Linked DNA regions of Arabidopsis thaliana. The protein of the gene in region 3 binds, or shares a complex with, the protein of the main gene of each other region. Each region holds a gene or a part of one and is shown on either strand. Other genes may lie near its edges. The genes, in order: AT5G05140, AT2G22370, MED21 and GCT.

Region 1 (5,526 bases), on a different chromosome or scaffold from region 3:
GTGACAAGCCCGTGAGGTTAGCACTCAAAGGAGTCCCAGTGTTTTTCACGCGTTTGAAGGTGAGTAAATTCTGATTGGTAATCACCACCGTCCCAAATCGTACGACTTCGTTTTGTCACGTATTAACATAAAATCAAATTATAATATTTTTAGGGGTCGATTTTGTTGACCAACATTTAATACATGCTTCTCATTCCACAAACAGAAACTTCCTTTTCTTCTTCTATTTTCTGTTGTTGCTCTAACAAATCAAGCTAAGTTTAATAGTCCAACTTATTTTATAACTTTGTAAACACAAAACAAAGTTCTTACTTTGAATTAAAACAGTTATGATTGTGGTATCATTTTGGAACATGTAAACATAAACGAAAATGCAAATACAAAGAAAAACAGTTGATTTTTTTTTTTTTCAACAACAACAAAAATAAGACAATGTATGATGATTGATGACATGATGCTATCATGCTATGTCTTTTTTTGGTAAATTCTCTAAAATAAATATGATCTAAGTTAAGGTTTGGTTGGATTGTACCGGAACATTATGAGTATAAGTGAAGAGTTGTAACTTTTATTTACAATTGATAAATTGTAAATAAACTACATATCTAAGACCATCTCTATTGGGAGTATCTCATAAGAGTTTCTCACAATTAAAAAAATAAAAATAATGAAAATGAAGGAGAGAGAGTGTAGAAAGTTTCTCACTTGAGAAACTCTGAGATAGTCTCTACAACCCATCATGACAATTATCATCTTACTATTGGTTTAATTTTTTAACAAAAATATTTTTTTAATCAAATAATCAAATTATAATATAATATTAATATTTTTTTTGTTTGAAAAACTTTGTGGGTTTTTCATGGATGGAGATGCCCTAATGGCCTTAACAAGTATGGGTTATGAAAAAATAGTCGATGAATTAATGAAAAAGCTGTGAGGGTAACGAGGTTAAAACATTGTGAGTCATTTTGTACCTAATCCAAAGTACAAAGGGATACAAAAAAAATAAAACAACTTTTTTGTTAGATATTTTTAAAACATTGTAAACAAAGAAATACTTGTTTCTCTGTCTTACAAATCTGAACAAATTAAAGTACCTAATCCAATTTCTTATAAAACAAAATAAAATGAAATGATAGTGTTAACTGTTAAAACATGAAACTATTGTTTTGAATCGGATTTACCAAATATTCTAATATATCACTCTTTGACTAGAAGATAAACGCTTTTGATCAGCAGCATTAGGAAATAAATATCTCTTCTTCAGAGCTTCTCATTAAAGTCCGTATAACTAACTAAACACTCTTAGTAGAATTTACTTTTGACATTTTCCAACGTAAAAAAGATTTATGACCCAAAAAAAAAAAAAAGAGTTTGACCTTGTAATCACTTAACTTGTGTCGTCGTTCAAGTACAACGCATGTGTGAGGAAAAAAAGAATAATGTGTTTTTATAATAATAATGAAAAGCCAAAACAGACCGATCAGGTCAAAAGAAAGCCGTAAAGAAAATCCAACTTAAAATAAAAATAAAATCTCTTTTACCAAACAGATATACAGAGAGACTTCAATCAGAGGAAATAAATAAATTTCATTATTTCTCTTTCTGAATTAATAAAAAGGTTTCTTGTTGAATTGAATTTGTAGCTGTGTTTAACGTAGTAGCACTTGGGTTTTAGATAGACAACGTAACCAAAACTGTTTCATGTTCTGTCTGTATTCTCTCTTTTGCTTTTTTGGGTTTCCTCCTTCTTTCTCATCTTTGCTGCGGTGCATTTTTTTCTCGGGAAAATCCTTTCTGGGCTTTCCGGGAAAGTTTTCTTGTCAGATTCGGAAAGGTACCAAAAAAAATAAATTAATAAAAACTTACCAAACAGATTTTGTGTTTATCTCTCTCTCTATAGATTCTTTTGATCACAAATCCTTTTCGTTTTTGATCATATTTTGATTGAGAACAAAACAATCTTCAAAGTCTCAACCTTTAAGTTTGATTGATCTTTTTTTGGTAAGTAAATCTTCTGTCGTAGATTCGATATTTTCTGATCTTCTCTTTTCGAATTCTTCAATCTTCAACGATCCCAATCTTCTTCTTCTGGAAATCTATTTTGCTTCTTCTTCAAATTTTCTGGGGAAAAAATCAAATTCTTGAGTTAATTAGACTCCGATTTTGTTGAATCGAGAAACGATGAAAGCATCGGGTTCATTAGATAGCTGGAGAGAATATTTCCGACGGCGAGGAGATTCCGATATATTCGGGATCATCGATCATGCGATCATGGTGGCTGCTACTGATTGTCCTAACAAATTCAAATCCAGAAGAGACAAAATCGCCGAGCTTTTATTCTCCTGTAGAGTGAATCGTTGCGTCGGATGCGACCATCTTGAATTGTCTGTTCCCGGAGACGACGAGGCTAACCGTGGAACCACCGGAAATGGTGGTGGTGGTACGGCGGTTGATGAAGATTATGAGGTTGCTGGTGGTAGTAAAGAGAGCAAAGCTAATAGTAGCAGAGGGGATAATAATCAGATTGTTAGCAATTATACATTTGATGAAGCTGAGGCTTTGAGTGATGAGATTGAAGAGTTTTCTGTGGTTTCTAAGGAGGTTGCTAGGATCAAAGAGATCTTGCTCAACAAAGAAGATGAGGTTTGATTCTCAAGTTCTTGAAATTTCATCAATGTGAAGATTTTTTTTTTGTGTTTTCTGATTGGTTCTTTTTTGTATTCTCTTGCAGCCAAACTCGGTGTTACTCGATTCTTTAAGACATCTTAAGTTGATGTCTTTGAATGTGGATATTCTTAAGGTTGGTTATCTTGGTGGATAGTGTATGAAGTTGTTGTTGATGATCCTTGAGATTCTTAAGGTTTGCGGTTATTCTCGCAGAGTACTGAGATTGGAAAGGCTGTTAATGGCCTCAGGAAACATTCTTCTGATAAGATTCGACAACTCGCTAAGACTCTTATCGCGTATGAGTTTTTGATCTTTCACAAGTTTGATTGACATTTGCTATGCTTTTGCACTTTTGAATCTCACATTTGAGTTTTTGATATGTTTATGCAGAGAATGGAAGGAGTTGGTGGATCAATGGGTGAATACCACAAAGGAAATCACTGGTAATTGCGCTTTCTCTGTCTCGCTTTTCGATCTTTTATGACTGGCTTCGTGTCTTACCGTTTGGTTTCTTGAATTAGATCCATAGTCTTTGGTTCTAATTTTGTGTTTAAAACAGGTGCTGAAGGTACACCAGAGTCTGCAAACCCGTCTGTCCTTGATGAAGAAGAGGCGTTTCCATCGCTTCCATATGATGTTGATATCTTTACACCTGAACCAAACGGATTTGAAATCTCACACTTCTTTGATTCCTTGGACTTTGATGGAAGTGAGTTTTAAAACTATGTCTTGTTTGTTTGAGAACATGTTCTTAGCTACGTGTTGATTGATTTTCTTGGGGATGTTTGTTTCAGATCCTCGTAACTCTGAAGAACACAACACAAGCCGAGAGCATGAAAGAAGGCCACAAAATATCGCCAAGAGAAAACCTGAGGGAACACAAATGAGGATACAAGATGCTCCTTTTAGATCTATTAAGCCATCATCAGCTACTGATTTTGATGGGACTAGAAGACCTGTAAAGCAAAGTACAGAGCAAAGGATGAAGAACGAAACGGTATCTGTTCACAAGTCTGAAAAACCCATGATCCAAAGGAAACCGGTTGTTACAGAACAGAAGCGGAAAGCTCCTGGACCTCAACAAGAAGTGAGTGTGGAGACAAAGCTCTTGTCTAATATCCTATTCTTGGACGTAGAATTGATGGTGTTTTTGCTCTTGTCCCTTGCAGAAACTTAAAGGTCTTGATGCAGACGCAAAGTTTGAGTTTGCAAAGAGGAAACTTCAAGAAAGCTACCAGCATCACGAGAATGGTTCGTTTCATTTCCTTTCTTTTGTTTCGAGTTTTTTGTTACATTCTTGAAAACAAAAGAACTTAAAAATGTTTGTGATCTTGCCACAGCCAAGAAGCAGCGAACGATACAAGTACTTGAGATGATCCCAAAGCAAGGTAGTGCTCAGAAACCGCAACTCAAGAGACCTGGAATGAGCAACAGGAATTGGGCTAATGGGAGAAAATAGTTTCTGCTTTGTTCAAATGGTGAATAATTCTCGGCAAAAGATATTACTCCATACTTACCACACATATCTCGCAATCTCTGGTGCAATAAAGGTAAACAGAGTCTAGTTCCACAAAGCTGGAGACAGAAACAAGCAGAGGAGAAGGAACAGAATCCAACATAACTTTACTTTGAACAAACTGTTTACTCCTCTGTTTTGTTCTGTCTTGGATTCACCAATTGCAGCAAGATAGGGATACCAATTATTGTTTCTTTTATGTGTTCTTTACTACATTCTTGAGACTTTCGGTACAGTCCCGGTTTAGTCGGGTTATGTTCGGTTTTGGGACAAGGAGAGAGGTCCCTTTTACATATATATCATATAAAAATAGTAAAAGAGAGGGTAGAAAAGCTCATTCGAAATTGACCGGCTCTTCACCTAACTTTGTATAGTAATGTGAAATGATTTGGGACACAATATAGAGATGATGACACTTTTTTCCAAATAAATAAATATTTATATAATGATATCCAATTGTTATGAATGAATGTGATTGTGACCGAATGTTGTCATTTCTTATTACTTATGTATATAAAATAAGATGGCATTGGAAAGGCTTAAGGAAGGTGGGTGGATAAGAAAAGAGGAGAAGGTAGTGGGGGGTGGGAGATAACGTGGATGGATAGGAATGTTGTTGCAGTGTGGTCTTTGTGCGTGTTGGTATTTTTTATTCAATGTTGTTATTATCTCGGCGTTACGCGTTCACGCATTTCACCACATGAACCACGTGGACTTCTACAACTTCTATTAATCTTTCACTCCATTTCTATTGAAAGAAAAACAGTTGGATAGAGATAAATCTAGTTTTATGGTCACGATTTTATTTCGTGAAAAGGAAAATGCACTTTTTAGTTTGATTAAATAAGTACACCCAAACACTTTTGGACAAAAACAAACGTAATGATTTTTGGCGTGATGGTAAATTCGTATGGATGTGTTGGTTATTTTTGTAAACTTTAGCATGTGAGAGAAAAAAAAAGTTGAGCATGTGAAAATACAAAAAATATTGTTGTCTGTGTACAAAAACTGAAATGACATTTAACATTTAGTAAGTTTCAAAATTTAAAACATTAACTCATAATCTCAAAACTTTAAACTAAACAAAAAACTGCAATTCCAAAAGCTCTAGAACTTAAATCTTACTATTGATGCAGCGAAATGTCTTTAGTTTTTTTTTTTTTAACAAAATTATGAGATCTTTTTTTGTTGTTGGAAATATCACTACAAAATGTCTAATTCATACTATTTTAAGAATATAAAAAATCTCATTTATAATCAATATGCAATGAATAAATTGACCTATATCCATTACATACTTTGTTAGATTACACTTCATTTTTGATGTGAAACATTCTAGC
Region 2 (3,660 bases), on a different chromosome or scaffold from region 3:
GACGCTTGTGATGGCGAAAAAAGGAGTTCCGGTATTGAACAAGAGTAATATGAGAGGAGATCAGTTGGTGAGAGTACAAGTGGAGATACCTAAGAGATTGAGCAAAGAGGAGAAAAAACTTATTGAAGAGCTTGCTGATATGAGCAAGAACAAGACTGCTAATAGCACCAGTAGATGATTAGAAACACGAAAATTTTGACATTGAAATTATGAATCTCTCTATACATATACATTTTTCTACTCTGGCTTGTGATATTTAGAATGGCTCTTGAAAAAAGAAGAAGCAAGTGGAGGAAGATGATTATTGTTGTGGAAATGGAAGAATTTTAGAATTCATTTTTTTGTGGTTCAAATTTTTAATATGTTAGGTTTTAATAGGCTTTCAAATTGGAATTTATTAGTGATTGAATGATAAATAAAATAGTATGTAATTCCACAAAGACATTCACATTATTTTAATCATGTTCGAAGCTTCATAAACTATCAATCTACTGACAAGTGACAACAATGAAACATCATAATACCAAAAGGTTGAGAGAAGAGCAAAGATCATATGCAAGTTGTGATTTATAAAGAATATTTATTAAAGATCCCTTACTGATTCTCATTAAATAATACTTAACTCTAATGGTTCACAAGATTTCACAACCATTGTGTAATCTGGAAAATTGACTAGATTGGACCAAAAGATCTAACAAGAGAGAACACAAGAACAGTTGTTTTTAACTTCAAACTTCTTACAATGTAGTACCTCCTCCATCCGACATAAGAGATGCAGCCGCCGCAGCAGCGGTTGGCACAACCCCCGTGGAGATAGACGGTTTCGACAAGTGAACAAGCCTGAAAACACAAGGAATCATATCACTGATGAAGCTTATATCAAAGACACTATCACAGGTGCTGTAAAATATATCAGATGAACTTACGGAGCAAGAAATTCACAGAAAGATGAAACAGCAGCAGCGACTTCACTGTAATTCTCAGAAGTTGCAGGAGCAGTTACATCAACAATCTGCATACCAGGTGTTACAGGAACAGCCTCATCTATAGCATGAACTTTAGGCATCTTATTAACAGAAGATACAGAAACACTTATGTGCGCAGTCCGTTGGAAATGAAAGGCGAATCCGACTTTGAGAAGCTCATGGTCTAGTTTGTAACCGAGTGCATAGAACATACGCAAAGCATTCTTGCTTACTTTACTTTCAATCATATTTCTAACCAAAACAGAGATTTGATCAGCTCCTGCACCTCTCATCGCACCACCAACATGTTTAACCGTCCTATGGTTCTTAAATTAGCTTCCTTTGAATGAAACAAGAACATATACAACAACAACAACAACAAGAAGAAGCTGTACCATGTGGGTTCGGGTTGATCAAGATCACATAATAGCCTAACTTCTGATGACACAACTCCTGAAAAAGTGAAGATTTCACAAATGTGAATCATGTATGATTCATAGGAAGCTTCAAGTTTCTGAATTTAACAAAAGGAATTGGCTTTACCAAGATTTGGGCCGCTTCTTAAGCATAACTCATGAACTCTTAAACGTTCGCGTTGAACACCACAAAGACCTTGAAGAAGAATCTCAAGAGCTTCAACATGCTGCAAAATCCAGTAGAAAATCTAATCAAATTCTAATAAAAATTCAAGCCTAGGGTTTATCAATTGGACATCATAAGAAAGCTAAAAGCTGATCCATGAACTCGAAAAACTTGGGATTTGTTCGTCAATCAAAAAATACAAACGAACCTGTGTCTCGATGATTCCTTGAACCACACACTCCATTGACATTGAGCTATCACAAAATCTCTCAATTAAAATCGTAAATATATTCTCAACAAGACCAAATCCGAAATTGGAAAAACTAACGAAAGCTTCCTAAATCGTCCTCGGGAGCGAATCTGAGATTTTTTAACACCGGAGAATTTTAGCTAGTTACTAGAATCACTTGTGTAGTTGTTATATAGTAGTTAGCTGTAGATAAAGCAAGATGGCCTATTAGCTCAGTTGGTTAGAGCGTCGTGCTAATAACGCGAAGGTCACAGGTTCGATCCCTGTATAGGCCATTTCGTTTTTTCTTGTTGCCCCTTTTTTGGGAACTCGATCATAATAAAAACTCTAGTGCATCTCGGTCATTGATTAGTGATCACCAAATAGCCCATTAGCTTAGTTGGCCGCATGATGAGAACATAACCACCGGTTAACCGGAGTAAACCGTCATTAGTTAGGTTGAAGATAGAATTTAGTTTGTGCTATCTTTGCTAAAAAGTTCATGAACCCTAACCTAATTAGTTGGCATTTTAAGAAGTCAACTAGTTTCGATAAAGTTTATGAACATAGCAAATGATATTTATATATGGTTATTTCATCTTGGTTGTGATTACTGTAAATGTCTACTAAGTAGAATGTGTTAATTCCTTATAATTGTTGACAAGAAATATGTAGAAAATTTTGTCAAAATTATTGCGATGTTGTGTAGATTAAGTGGCCACTACATCACCACAATCCTTTAAATTATTAGATAAAAAGTTCAAAAATAAGTCAAATAACCATGTTTACGAAAAGTTTGGAGGAGAATAGGAAAAATGTAAATATATTTATTTTAGCCTCAAACAATTCTTCTCTATTTCAATAGACGAATGAATCCTCAATTTTGCATTAACTAAACCATTTTAGTTTCTTCATTCGTCAATAATATCCTCAAGTGTGTAATCATGTTAATGCTCGTCTAATATACCGGTAACTCAAACCGGCCTCATTTTAACCTACCTCACCAAATTTGTAGAGGTAGCATAATACACGGGCCAAGTTGAATATCCAAGTTGATATTTATGCTTATAATGCATCATTTATGAATTGCCAATTGTCAAATGCCAAGCATGCTTTTGTGGGAAGGCTTATGAATTGTTTACAATGATACAAGATGCAAATGTAAAACCAAATATCATCAGGATATATTAATACAAGAGTCTATGGACTTGTTTCAGAGGATGAAAAATATAAAAACAAAAAGGTGTTCAACAAAAATAGGTCAAGCTTTGGGTTGTATCCAAGTTTATGTATTAGTGATCCGAGCAAGAGAACCTATCAATGCGATACACGTGTAGCAATCATTAATCAAATCCACGTATGACGACTTTGACTACCATACACTCTAGTACTCTCTACCGTAGAGGATTACATTTTAACCCTACGATTAGTTTAATCTCTCAGTCCACCGGAGAGTGTAAAAACAGCGAGAAAATCGACGTCGTTCGATCGCCGACTGCGAGCGAAGAAGAAGATGGCTGAAGAAGAGGTTGACTACGTATTCAAGGTTGTTTTGAACGGAGATTCAGCGGTTGGGAAGTCACAGCTACGAGCTCGGTTCACAAGAGACGAATTCAGTATGGATTCCAAAGCCACAATTCGGTGTCGATTTCAATACTCGAACGCTCGTTATTGACGATAAGAACATCAAAGCTCAGATCTGGGACATCGCAGGCCAGAAACGGTACTATATCCTTCTCCGATCTTAGTTCTATCTTCTCTGATTTAACAATGGATAAAATATTGCTTCGAACTCGATGATGTTACAGTGTTGCTGTTCAATTTCGATTTTGATCTTCGTGTGTACCTGAGAGTGACCTCATTTTGACTAGAGAGTAATCGACT
Region 3 (3,806 bases):
GATCTTTTCTTTATAATCAATAATCTTTCTTAATCCGATTATAAGTAGAAAACAATTATTAAGTTTAAAAAAAAAATACAATTTTTTTTTTTCACATAGTAAAAGTATTAGAATTGAACTTTACAAAAAATTAATAAAAATTAAAGAAAAACAATAGTAGAGTCATATTTCACTAAATATTTTACATATAATATTTATATAAATATATATATTGGTAAATTTATACAATTGTTAATTTATAATATTGATCGGACTGGCTAAAGTTTTCTTTTCATCCTAAAGCTTCATCACGCAGACAAAAGATTGTTGGACTCTATACAAGTCTTGTGAGAGAGCGCAAGAAGGATGATGAGTTAGGATATCTTCACATGCTTGAGTACAAATACACAATCAAGATCCGGTTTTGGACCACAACTTATGGACTGGTCATTTCTTTTCAGCAACTTGGATTGAATGTGACAGATACCAGAGTTCATAGTAATTTGACCATCATAGTAATTTGACCAACACTGCCCGGAGAATCAAACATGATGTGTCAATCATGGCCTGTAATTGTGAAAATGATAAAGTGGATTCTCTGAGATTGTAATCAGACAGGTCAAAAAAGTGTAAGGTTAAAATAATGGTTCTGTTGTTGTGAGCTAACTAACATTCTTGTAATTGCTTCTACAACAATTTTTTGGTGAACCAACTTAGAATAGATATTCCTTATGAACCTAAAAGATAATTGTTGCTGAACCAAATCATATAGTTTCTAAATCAGCTCGACAAAAGGTAAACAAGCATTTCATTCAGGTTTCTTCATGTTCAGGCAATTGTCAGCAGCTTGTCCAAACAGCTCTTGTACTTGCTTTAGCTCCTTCTCTGTCACAAACAAGGTCACACCATTAACATCAGCTCAATCGTCAGAGGCAGTTGCAAGGGAAAACAAAAATTCCAAATTCTAGAACCACTAAAGATAACATCTAACCATAGTGCGTGTATCAACAAGAAAGTATACAAATTGAAATTTGAAGTGCATAATGAATCTGCTCCAGTTACAGACAGATAAGACACACCAACAATGAAGTGAAAACCTAAGATCGTTTTTTACCTGCAGCCTCTAGTTGCTTTTGGAGTTCTTGACCAACAAGATCATTTTCCACCTGAAGAAAAAACAGGACAAAGCGGTTAGACAAATAGAAGTAATCGGATTCAAGAACTCGACATATCGGTGTGACTTGTTTGACCTGGAGTTCAGCGATTCTTTTGAGCTGAGCACCTTCACCACCTTCTGACAAAGGAAGTGCAGCAACCAAAGCATCAAACTGTTTAGCAGCCTTAACTAAGCCAGCACTGAGCTGCTTAGGTTGCTCAGGAAAAGGCGTAGCATCATCAGTAACCGTAGTTGTAGCGGGTGGTTCAGGATAATTAGGTGAAAGCTGGACTGGTGGTGCATCCCTTTGCAGTGTCCCAAAAGCATTGAAAGTGATAGCAGCAATCGTATTCACTTGTTCTTGCAACTGTGAGATTATATCCATCTTCCAAAACCTTAAAAGACCTTGAACAAGTATAAAATTTACAGTAATCAATCACATATTAGACTTTTAACATATACTCAAAAGCAAGATATAACGTTCAGAGAGGATCTAGGAGATTCAAATGGCACAAAATTGGTGGTCAATTCCTGAATTTATCAAACAAGATTCTCAACAAAACTAGTGCCAAAGCATAAATCACTTAAAACCAGTTGGATTTCAGAGAGGATCAAAATGGCGAATCCTCAGGGAAAAAATTGACCTAATCGATTTAACGAAGCATAAGCTTTAACGAAGAGACTTACCCGTCGACAAGATTTCTCCGGCGACGCAGAGTCTGTTGGGTGTGGCAACGACAGATAATCGCTGCGAATTGGGGCGTTTTGTTGTTCTTAATAAACTTCGTTCTGCGTTTTGGGTTTGGGCTCGAAGATTTTTAAAATGGGCTTTTAAGGTGGCCTTTCCTTTGGATTTTTGGGCCCTAATTCCATAGAATTCGTAAGGAACGATTTCTGTTGTTTCTTTAAACCTACTGCTTTAATTAATTGACAACTAATTAAAAAAAAAAACACTGAAGTAGAATTGGGTGGCTGATTTTTGAGCCATAAACTATTTCGATTCTCAGCTTTCACCCCCGGACTTTTGGGCCCTTAAATTTTCACCATCAACTTTCATATTCCTCAAAATTACATCATCTACTTTCGAATTCATGCTTAAACATACATTTCCAATTGAACCATTCATTTAACCGGGATTAACCACAAATCTGCGTTTACTGTACCGCGATTGCGATTAACCTGACTAATACCCAGACCCGTTAAGAAAACGACGTCGTTTTCATTTCGTTTAACTCATCAAAAAGAGAAAGAAAACGACGTCGTTTTCATTCTTCTTCTTCTGCAAAATCGATTTGGTCGATTAGGGTTCTTCATTCGACAATTTTATAACAGAGACTAATCCAATACTACAATTTCACTCCAAAACCTCAACAACACCTACACTCTTCCCCAAAGCCATACAATAGATGCAACAATCACAACAGCAACCCCTACAGTCTTCAAAGCTGACTTTGCCATAACATGTCCTAGCTCTTCCACATTCTCCTTCATGGTCAAGAGTTCACCCTCCATCTTCTTAATCAGCTCTTCCTCCATCTGCTTAGCGTTTTTATTAAGGAGCTCCATATTAGCCATCACGTTCATTCTGAGGTCACTAATATTCTCTACAACTCTCTTACACTTCTCATTTACCATCTTAATTTCGTCCAAGAGAGCTTCATCAACCCATTTGAACAAGTGCTCTTCATTTTCTCTCTATAAAACATAATTTCCAATCATTTACTCCTTCAATCAATCAAATATATCACAAAATCGAAATGTGTACCTTCATTGCTATCGCACAACGGTAGAATCTCCGGTATGGATTCTCCTTTGTTTTCGATGTGAATGTAATGATCTCTTCTCCACACCAACATTTCGAGGGGACACCAGGAGGACAGACACGAAATCCTGAACTGGAAGCGGATGAGTAGTAGCTGTTGGTGCTCATTTTCTTATAAAATTGTCGAATGAAGAACCCTAATCGACCAAATCGATTTTGCAGAAGAAGAAGAATGAAAACGACGTCGTTTTCTTTCTCTTTTTGATGAGTTAAACGAAATGAAAACGACGTCGTTTTCTTAACGGGTCTGGGTATTAGTCGGGTTAATCGCAATCGCGGTACAGTAAACGCGGATTTGTGGTTAATCCCGGTTAAATGAATGGTTCAATTGGAAATGTATGTTTAAGCATGAATCCGAAAGTAGATGATGTAATTTTGGGAATATGAAAGTTGATGGTGGAAATTTAAGGGCCCAAAAGTCCGGGGGTGAAAGCTGAGAATCGAAATAGTTTATGGCTCGAAAATCAGCTAACCCAAGTAGAATCGATACTGATTGTGTCTAGTGCTTTAATTATCTCTAGTAGATCTTCAAGGTTTATGCCTTGTCCCTAGTACATTTTGCTATCTCGGTCTGGTGGGTGAGGTGTGATGGTGTTTGTACTTATGTCTCTGGTTTCAGCGGCTTCTTGCTTTCCTCTCTGTCGATTTACTATTAGTTTTGACTTCGGTGTAAAATCTATCCGATCTTATTGGTGTTTCCGGCGTTCACATTTTTTAGGAGAAGTTTAGGTCTTATTTTTCCCATAGTTTTTTATTTTCTTTTGAATTTTGTCTCTTGATTCAATTTCGTTGGTTTAAAATGTTTCCTTATATATGTTTTTGGTTTTACTTCCTTTTTTTCAGCTAAGT
Region 4 (4,597 bases), on a different chromosome or scaffold from region 3:
TTTGGGCATTTCAAGACCTCTGTTTTGTGGATTTCTTTTGATCTTCAAATGTCGACGAGATAGATGAAAAAGACTCACCAGTGCATAAACAAAGATGAGCCTGCTAGTGACGGGCCTATCCAGTTTTGAAGCCAAAATCTGCAAGTATGATTTCACCTTGCATCAGCTCCAAGCTGAGGAAAGATCACAACTATTACATCTATTTAACATGGGTCTGAAACAATTACTAAAACTTCCACTACGATCACACAGAGTCAATTTGTTTTAATACATACATGGAATTCAACAGAAACGAAATAAATTTTATGTATAGCCAATCTGGATCTTACCGTTAAGTACTCAATGAATTCTAAATAACCACCTCACCTAGTCAATTTACCTTTTCAAAGAAAATTTCGCAAATGCCGACTGTAAGATTGGTACAAGCACTGCCTCAGCTGGATAGATGAACTTTTTTTCACAAACTGATGAAAGATCTGATTGTCCTTTACGGTGATCTTTACTCCCAACTGAAGGTTCAGGACACTGGTTATGGGGCAAGTTAACTGCAAAGGTCGAATTAGCTTGACTTGTGTTGTCATTTCTATTTTGGCAGCAACCAAGTGTAACTTCCACGTAGCAATGATTGCCATTTATCAGACGGGACCCACGACCAATATGAGAAGGGAGACCAACATATCCAGTCGAAGTTTTTAAGTTTCCAGAACTGTGTGAGAAAAAAGTATTAGTTGAGAAAATTGGATTAATCAGATTAACGGCTACGCACTCACAAAAAATGTTGACTTGGCATTCGAAAGCAAAGGTATGAAATGTACCTGAAGTAGACTTGCTTGACAAGGTCATTGGGACAGAATCCAGTAAGGCTGCCCCGCATTCCATGAGGAGAAACAATAACTGGTGGGAATAACATAGGCCTGTGAGAAGTGTTTCTATCAAATAAAAAGCTCTTATCTTTCTTTAAGCATGTGTAGAAGGCGGATTTCATTTCAGGTATCAATTCAAAAAGTTTGGCTTCATAGAATTACATGTAGCATAATCTATTATCCTCACTCTTGGCCAATCCCAAACATTTACGAAAAGCTCTTGTGACATGCAAAAAAATGAGGTGTTAAATCTTTGCTTGATGAAGCTAGGTAGCAGTAGCACTAGACTACACTAGGTTTCTTTTTGGAGTGGATGCATTGAAAATTGAGTTCAAAATGCTCTCAATCTATACAGTATTCTAACAGTACAAAGCAAGAAGAGGTCAACAAACATCTAGAACTAGTTCCATCAAAATCGTAGACAAGTAGGATAATTTATCAATCCAAATGATGATGGAAAAATAACTAACCTGGAAGCCTATAACTGGAGTTTTTCAAAGAACTCCTTAACATTCTTTCAGCATCGCCACTTGAAAGTGTGCGGACATTCCTTCGTGCATAAAATATTATAGTTAGTTTCAATAACTATGTGAAGCACTAAACCATAACTGAAACAGTATAACAAAAAGCTTTACGGACTTGGCAGATATAATGACATGGACAAAAACTGCCTCTTCGGTAGCAGCAAAGATGAATTCAACAGTAGGCTGTCCCCTCCTACATAAATATCCACAGAGCATTAGCGAGCCACAGAGCATTAGCGAGCCACAGACCTAATCATAGAATTCTTTGGATTCTAAGAATTACACTCAGGAAACCTAGGTCTCACAGACCCTATTTAATGAAAGCTATAGGATAATACATAATCGAAAAGCCATAGAGAAAAAAGACGATATATTTGCTAATAAACCATCAGAGATTATAACGCATGGTCTCGCTTATATTGGTAAGAGGTTGCAGATACCTCAAATATTCTTCGCTTTGAGGGCTGAATTTTGAAAACACATCTCCAAATCTCATGTAGGAAATTCCAGATAATGCTCTGTGGCGATATCAAACAAGTTAATATGATACTCTAATCCATTATTTCCTTAATCCAACCATTATGTCTGCAGATAATAAAAAACTAACCTTTCGATGCAATTACGTAAAGACTGTGAAAAGGCAACTGATATCTCTTCAGAGTCCCCAGGTGCTACCCAAATTCCTGACGCAACAACTTTCAACAGGAGAAAAAGAAAAGTAAGGACAAGTATACCAAGATAACCATAGACCACAGGCATGTTCACTAAACAGTCATAATCAGAATAGAGACAATATGTTTGAATCTATTGAGGCGACAAAATACGATGAAGAAAATAAATCATAAGGAGAATATACCTCTAAGCTTTGACACAGCAGCCTGAGCTTTATCAGATATTGATGAATGACGCCCAGGTAGAAAAAGCCAAAGCTTAATCTTTTCATCTGAGCAGCAGCGAGGAATGATGGTTAGATACAACTGTAAATAAAGTTACAAAATTTAAAAGTACCAGATTGAGATTTAGCATTACCAGGGTTGTATAAACCTTGAGATGGATCCCAAGGTCCAACAAAAGAATTGGTCCAAGTGGTAAGAAACCCTTCCTTCTGCAACCGTAGATGAGAGGAAAGTACAAGATATGTTGCAACTTCATTCTGCTCAGCTCTTGAACTGAAAAAAAAACTCCAGAGTGACCAGACTAATTAGTACAATGTCAATAAGGAAAAACTAAAACAACCCATTGAAAAAGCTTAAAGCTTTAACCTTCTATCAAAGCCAGGATTCAGCTCAGTTTCACTTGGAAGAAACTGAAACCAAGAAACATTATGTAGACCACCCTGTAGAAGAAAAATCATCATGTATTACCAATAAGTCAATTTTCACACACAATGGGAAAAAGATGATAGAATAAGACTTACAATTCTGAAAACATTAGTCCACATCACTTGGGGATAGATACAACAAGTTCAATCCTTTTTTTTCTTCAAATTATAGGCTATAACCCCAAAATCATCGTCTTGAAGCGCTCGGAATTGGAAGACGTTGTCAATTTCTAGCTCGATCTTCTCTTGATGTTGCGAGGTTTATATCTCTCTTTTGATCAAAACTCTTCAATACATCATAATCATCTCAACACGAAATCTCTCGTGGTTTTCATAAAACCAGATCCAAACGCGCTCTTTAGGGTTCTTTTTTTTTTGTTGCTCTTACTAATTCTTTTTTTTTCTGTGGCCCAATTTGTTTTAGTCAGGCCCAATTCATTATTTTCACAACACTCTGGTTCAAAAAAAAAAACCGCCAACCACAAGCATCATAAAAGAGTTTCCTCCAAATAAGGTGTTTAATATCAAGTGTTTTTGAAGTTTTGGTATTAAGATCTCATTCTTTCGAGTTTGTTTGACTTGCATCAATCAAATGAACCAAACAATGCTATGGTTTTACTTTATATTTTCTAGATTTTGTATACCACGATATAGCTAGACCTCGAATGATCTTAACGCTATCTTTGTATCGTTGGGTGCGGCTAGTTGTCTTCTGGTTCCATAGGTCATTCGTGGTGATACTATTCAGATGTCTCAAAGCCTTATGGGATGTATGAGTATCGTCCGAAATATTTTTACAAATTTAAACAAAAGATAATCTTGAGGAAAATTAAGATTATAATCTGATATGAAATATATACACCAAACACAAACACAAACATAACAAAGTCAAAGTGTTTAGTCATGTAAATGTGAATCAGGCTAGAGAATTCAAGGACCGGTAGATTTGATTTAATCGGTTTTCTTATTTGGACCGAGCAGTACCCAATCATGTGTAGATCAACTACTACTCAGCAGATCTTATTTTATTCTAGTTAAACTTAAGATCAAGGCTTTATATTCGACTTCGTAAGGATAGTAGTTCTTGCTTAATCTGATCTCTCAAGACTCTTCTCAGTAGCTTGCTAGAAGCTGTTCTTGGAAACTCCGGCACAATCTTCACAAAACTCACCTGCAATATTTTTGCAAAATCCATTTTTAAGCACACAAAAAATCTTATAATAACTTTGAATTTATAGAAAAACTCATCAAAGATATTGATTACCTTGAAGAGAGGATTAAGATCTTTTTGAATGGTTCTTGAAAATTTCATCTTTAGCTCTTCTCCACTCTGTTGCTTGAACCCTTCTTTCAAGACTGCGAATATGACCAGCAACTCTGGACCACCGTTAGGTGGTGTTAAGGTGACTGCAGCTGTCTCAGAGATGCACTCATCAGCTTGATCACACACACGTTCGATCTCAATAGAACTCGTCTGCGTTATAACAGATAAACAAAAGATGAAAACTTGAGAAAAGTTCCAACTCTAATCGAAGTTGGGTATATAGACATACAATGTATGTAGTACCTTAATGCCTCCAAGGTTCATGGTATCATCAGCTCTACCTTGAACATTGTAATATCCTCCAACAGTTCGCTTCACAATGTCACCGTGTCTTCTAAGTCGCTGCAGAACGCAACAGAACAGAGGAATCGTTTAACTGACGTAAGTTTGCAATTTTGTTTAGATGTAAATATAGAAGTTCTAAAACTACTCACTGTTTCCTTATACATGGGCATTCCCTTGAAGTAAACCTCGTCGTGATTTGCATTCAGAAGTCTATCCGTGGCCCCAAGGTGCTGGGGGAACAAACCGACTTCTCCAGTACATGGTTGATCATCCGGCTGCA

Evidence for each region.
Region 1: MED21 (region 3) and AT5G05140 share a complex: the UniProt entries of both Arabidopsis thaliana proteins name them as parts of the mediator complex.
Region 2: MED21 (region 3) and AT2G22370 share a complex: the UniProt entries of both Arabidopsis thaliana proteins name them as parts of the mediator complex.
Region 4: MED21 (region 3) and GCT share a complex: the UniProt entries of both Arabidopsis thaliana proteins name them as parts of the mediator complex.

Annotation. Positions count from the first base shown.
Region 1 is NC_003076.8:1,518,169-1,523,694, forward strand, and holds AT5G05140 (Transcription elongation factor (TFIIS) family protein), read left to right. Parts: upstream 1-1,536; 5' UTR 1,537-2,184; coding exon 2,185-2,646; intron 2,647-2,734; coding exon 2,735-2,803; intron 2,804-2,883; coding exon 2,884-2,966; intron 2,967-3,060; coding exon 3,061-3,113; intron 3,114-3,229; coding exon 3,230-3,379; intron 3,380-3,464; coding exon 3,465-3,757; intron 3,758-3,839; coding exon 3,840-3,921; intron 3,922-4,010; coding exon 4,011-4,129; 3' UTR 4,130-4,969; downstream 4,970-5,526. UniProt on the Arabidopsis thaliana protein: Component of the Mediator complex, a coactivator involved in the regulated transcription of nearly all RNA polymerase II-dependent genes.
Region 2 is NC_003071.7:9,500,282-9,503,941, forward strand, and holds AT2G22370 (mediator of RNA polymerase II transcription subunit), read right to left. Parts: upstream 1,930-3,660; 5' UTR 1,798-1,929; coding exon 1,756-1,797; intron 1,609-1,755; coding exon 1,509-1,608; intron 1,419-1,508; coding exon 1,361-1,418; intron 1,284-1,360; coding exon 927-1,283; intron 841-926; coding exon 738-840; 3' UTR 503-737; downstream 1-502. Other genes in the region: AT2G22360 (DNAJ heat shock family protein), read left to right, coding at 1-178. UniProt on the Arabidopsis thaliana protein: Component of the Mediator complex, a coactivator involved in the regulated transcription of nearly all RNA polymerase II-dependent genes.
Region 3 is NC_003075.7:2,430,379-2,434,184, reverse strand, and holds MED21 (mediator 21), read right to left. Parts: upstream 1,934-3,806; 5' UTR 1,823-1,933; intron 1,541-1,822; 5' UTR 1,521-1,540; coding exon 1,230-1,520; intron 1,146-1,229; coding exon 1,094-1,145; intron 865-1,093; coding exon 788-864; 3' UTR 550-787; downstream 1-549. Other genes in the region: AT4G04775 (zinc ion binding protein), read right to left, coding at 2,513-2,830, 2,901-3,065. UniProt on the Arabidopsis thaliana protein: Component of the Mediator complex, a coactivator involved in the regulated transcription of nearly all RNA polymerase II-dependent genes.
Region 4 is NC_003070.9:20,635,825-20,640,421, reverse strand, and holds the start of GCT (RNA polymerase II transcription mediator), read right to left. Parts: upstream 3,043-4,597; 5' UTR 2,829-3,042; coding exon 2,805-2,828; intron 2,724-2,804; coding exon 2,650-2,723; intron 2,557-2,649; coding exon 2,417-2,556; intron 2,331-2,416; coding exon 2,244-2,330; intron 2,083-2,243; coding exon 1,995-2,082; intron 1,906-1,994; coding exon 1,828-1,905; intron 1,581-1,827; coding exon 1,503-1,580; intron 1,414-1,502; coding exon 1,334-1,413; intron 1,081-1,333; coding exon of another isoform or gene 1,026-1,080; intron 930-1,025; coding exon of another isoform or gene 895-929; coding exon 816-894; intron 707-815; coding exon 380-706; intron 139-379; coding exon 79-138; intron 1-78. Other genes in the region: AAE18 (acyl-activating enzyme 18), read right to left, coding at 3,763-3,879, 3,973-4,182, 4,276-4,374, 4,467-4,592. UniProt on the Arabidopsis thaliana protein: Component of the Mediator complex, a coactivator involved in the regulated transcription of nearly all RNA polymerase II-dependent genes.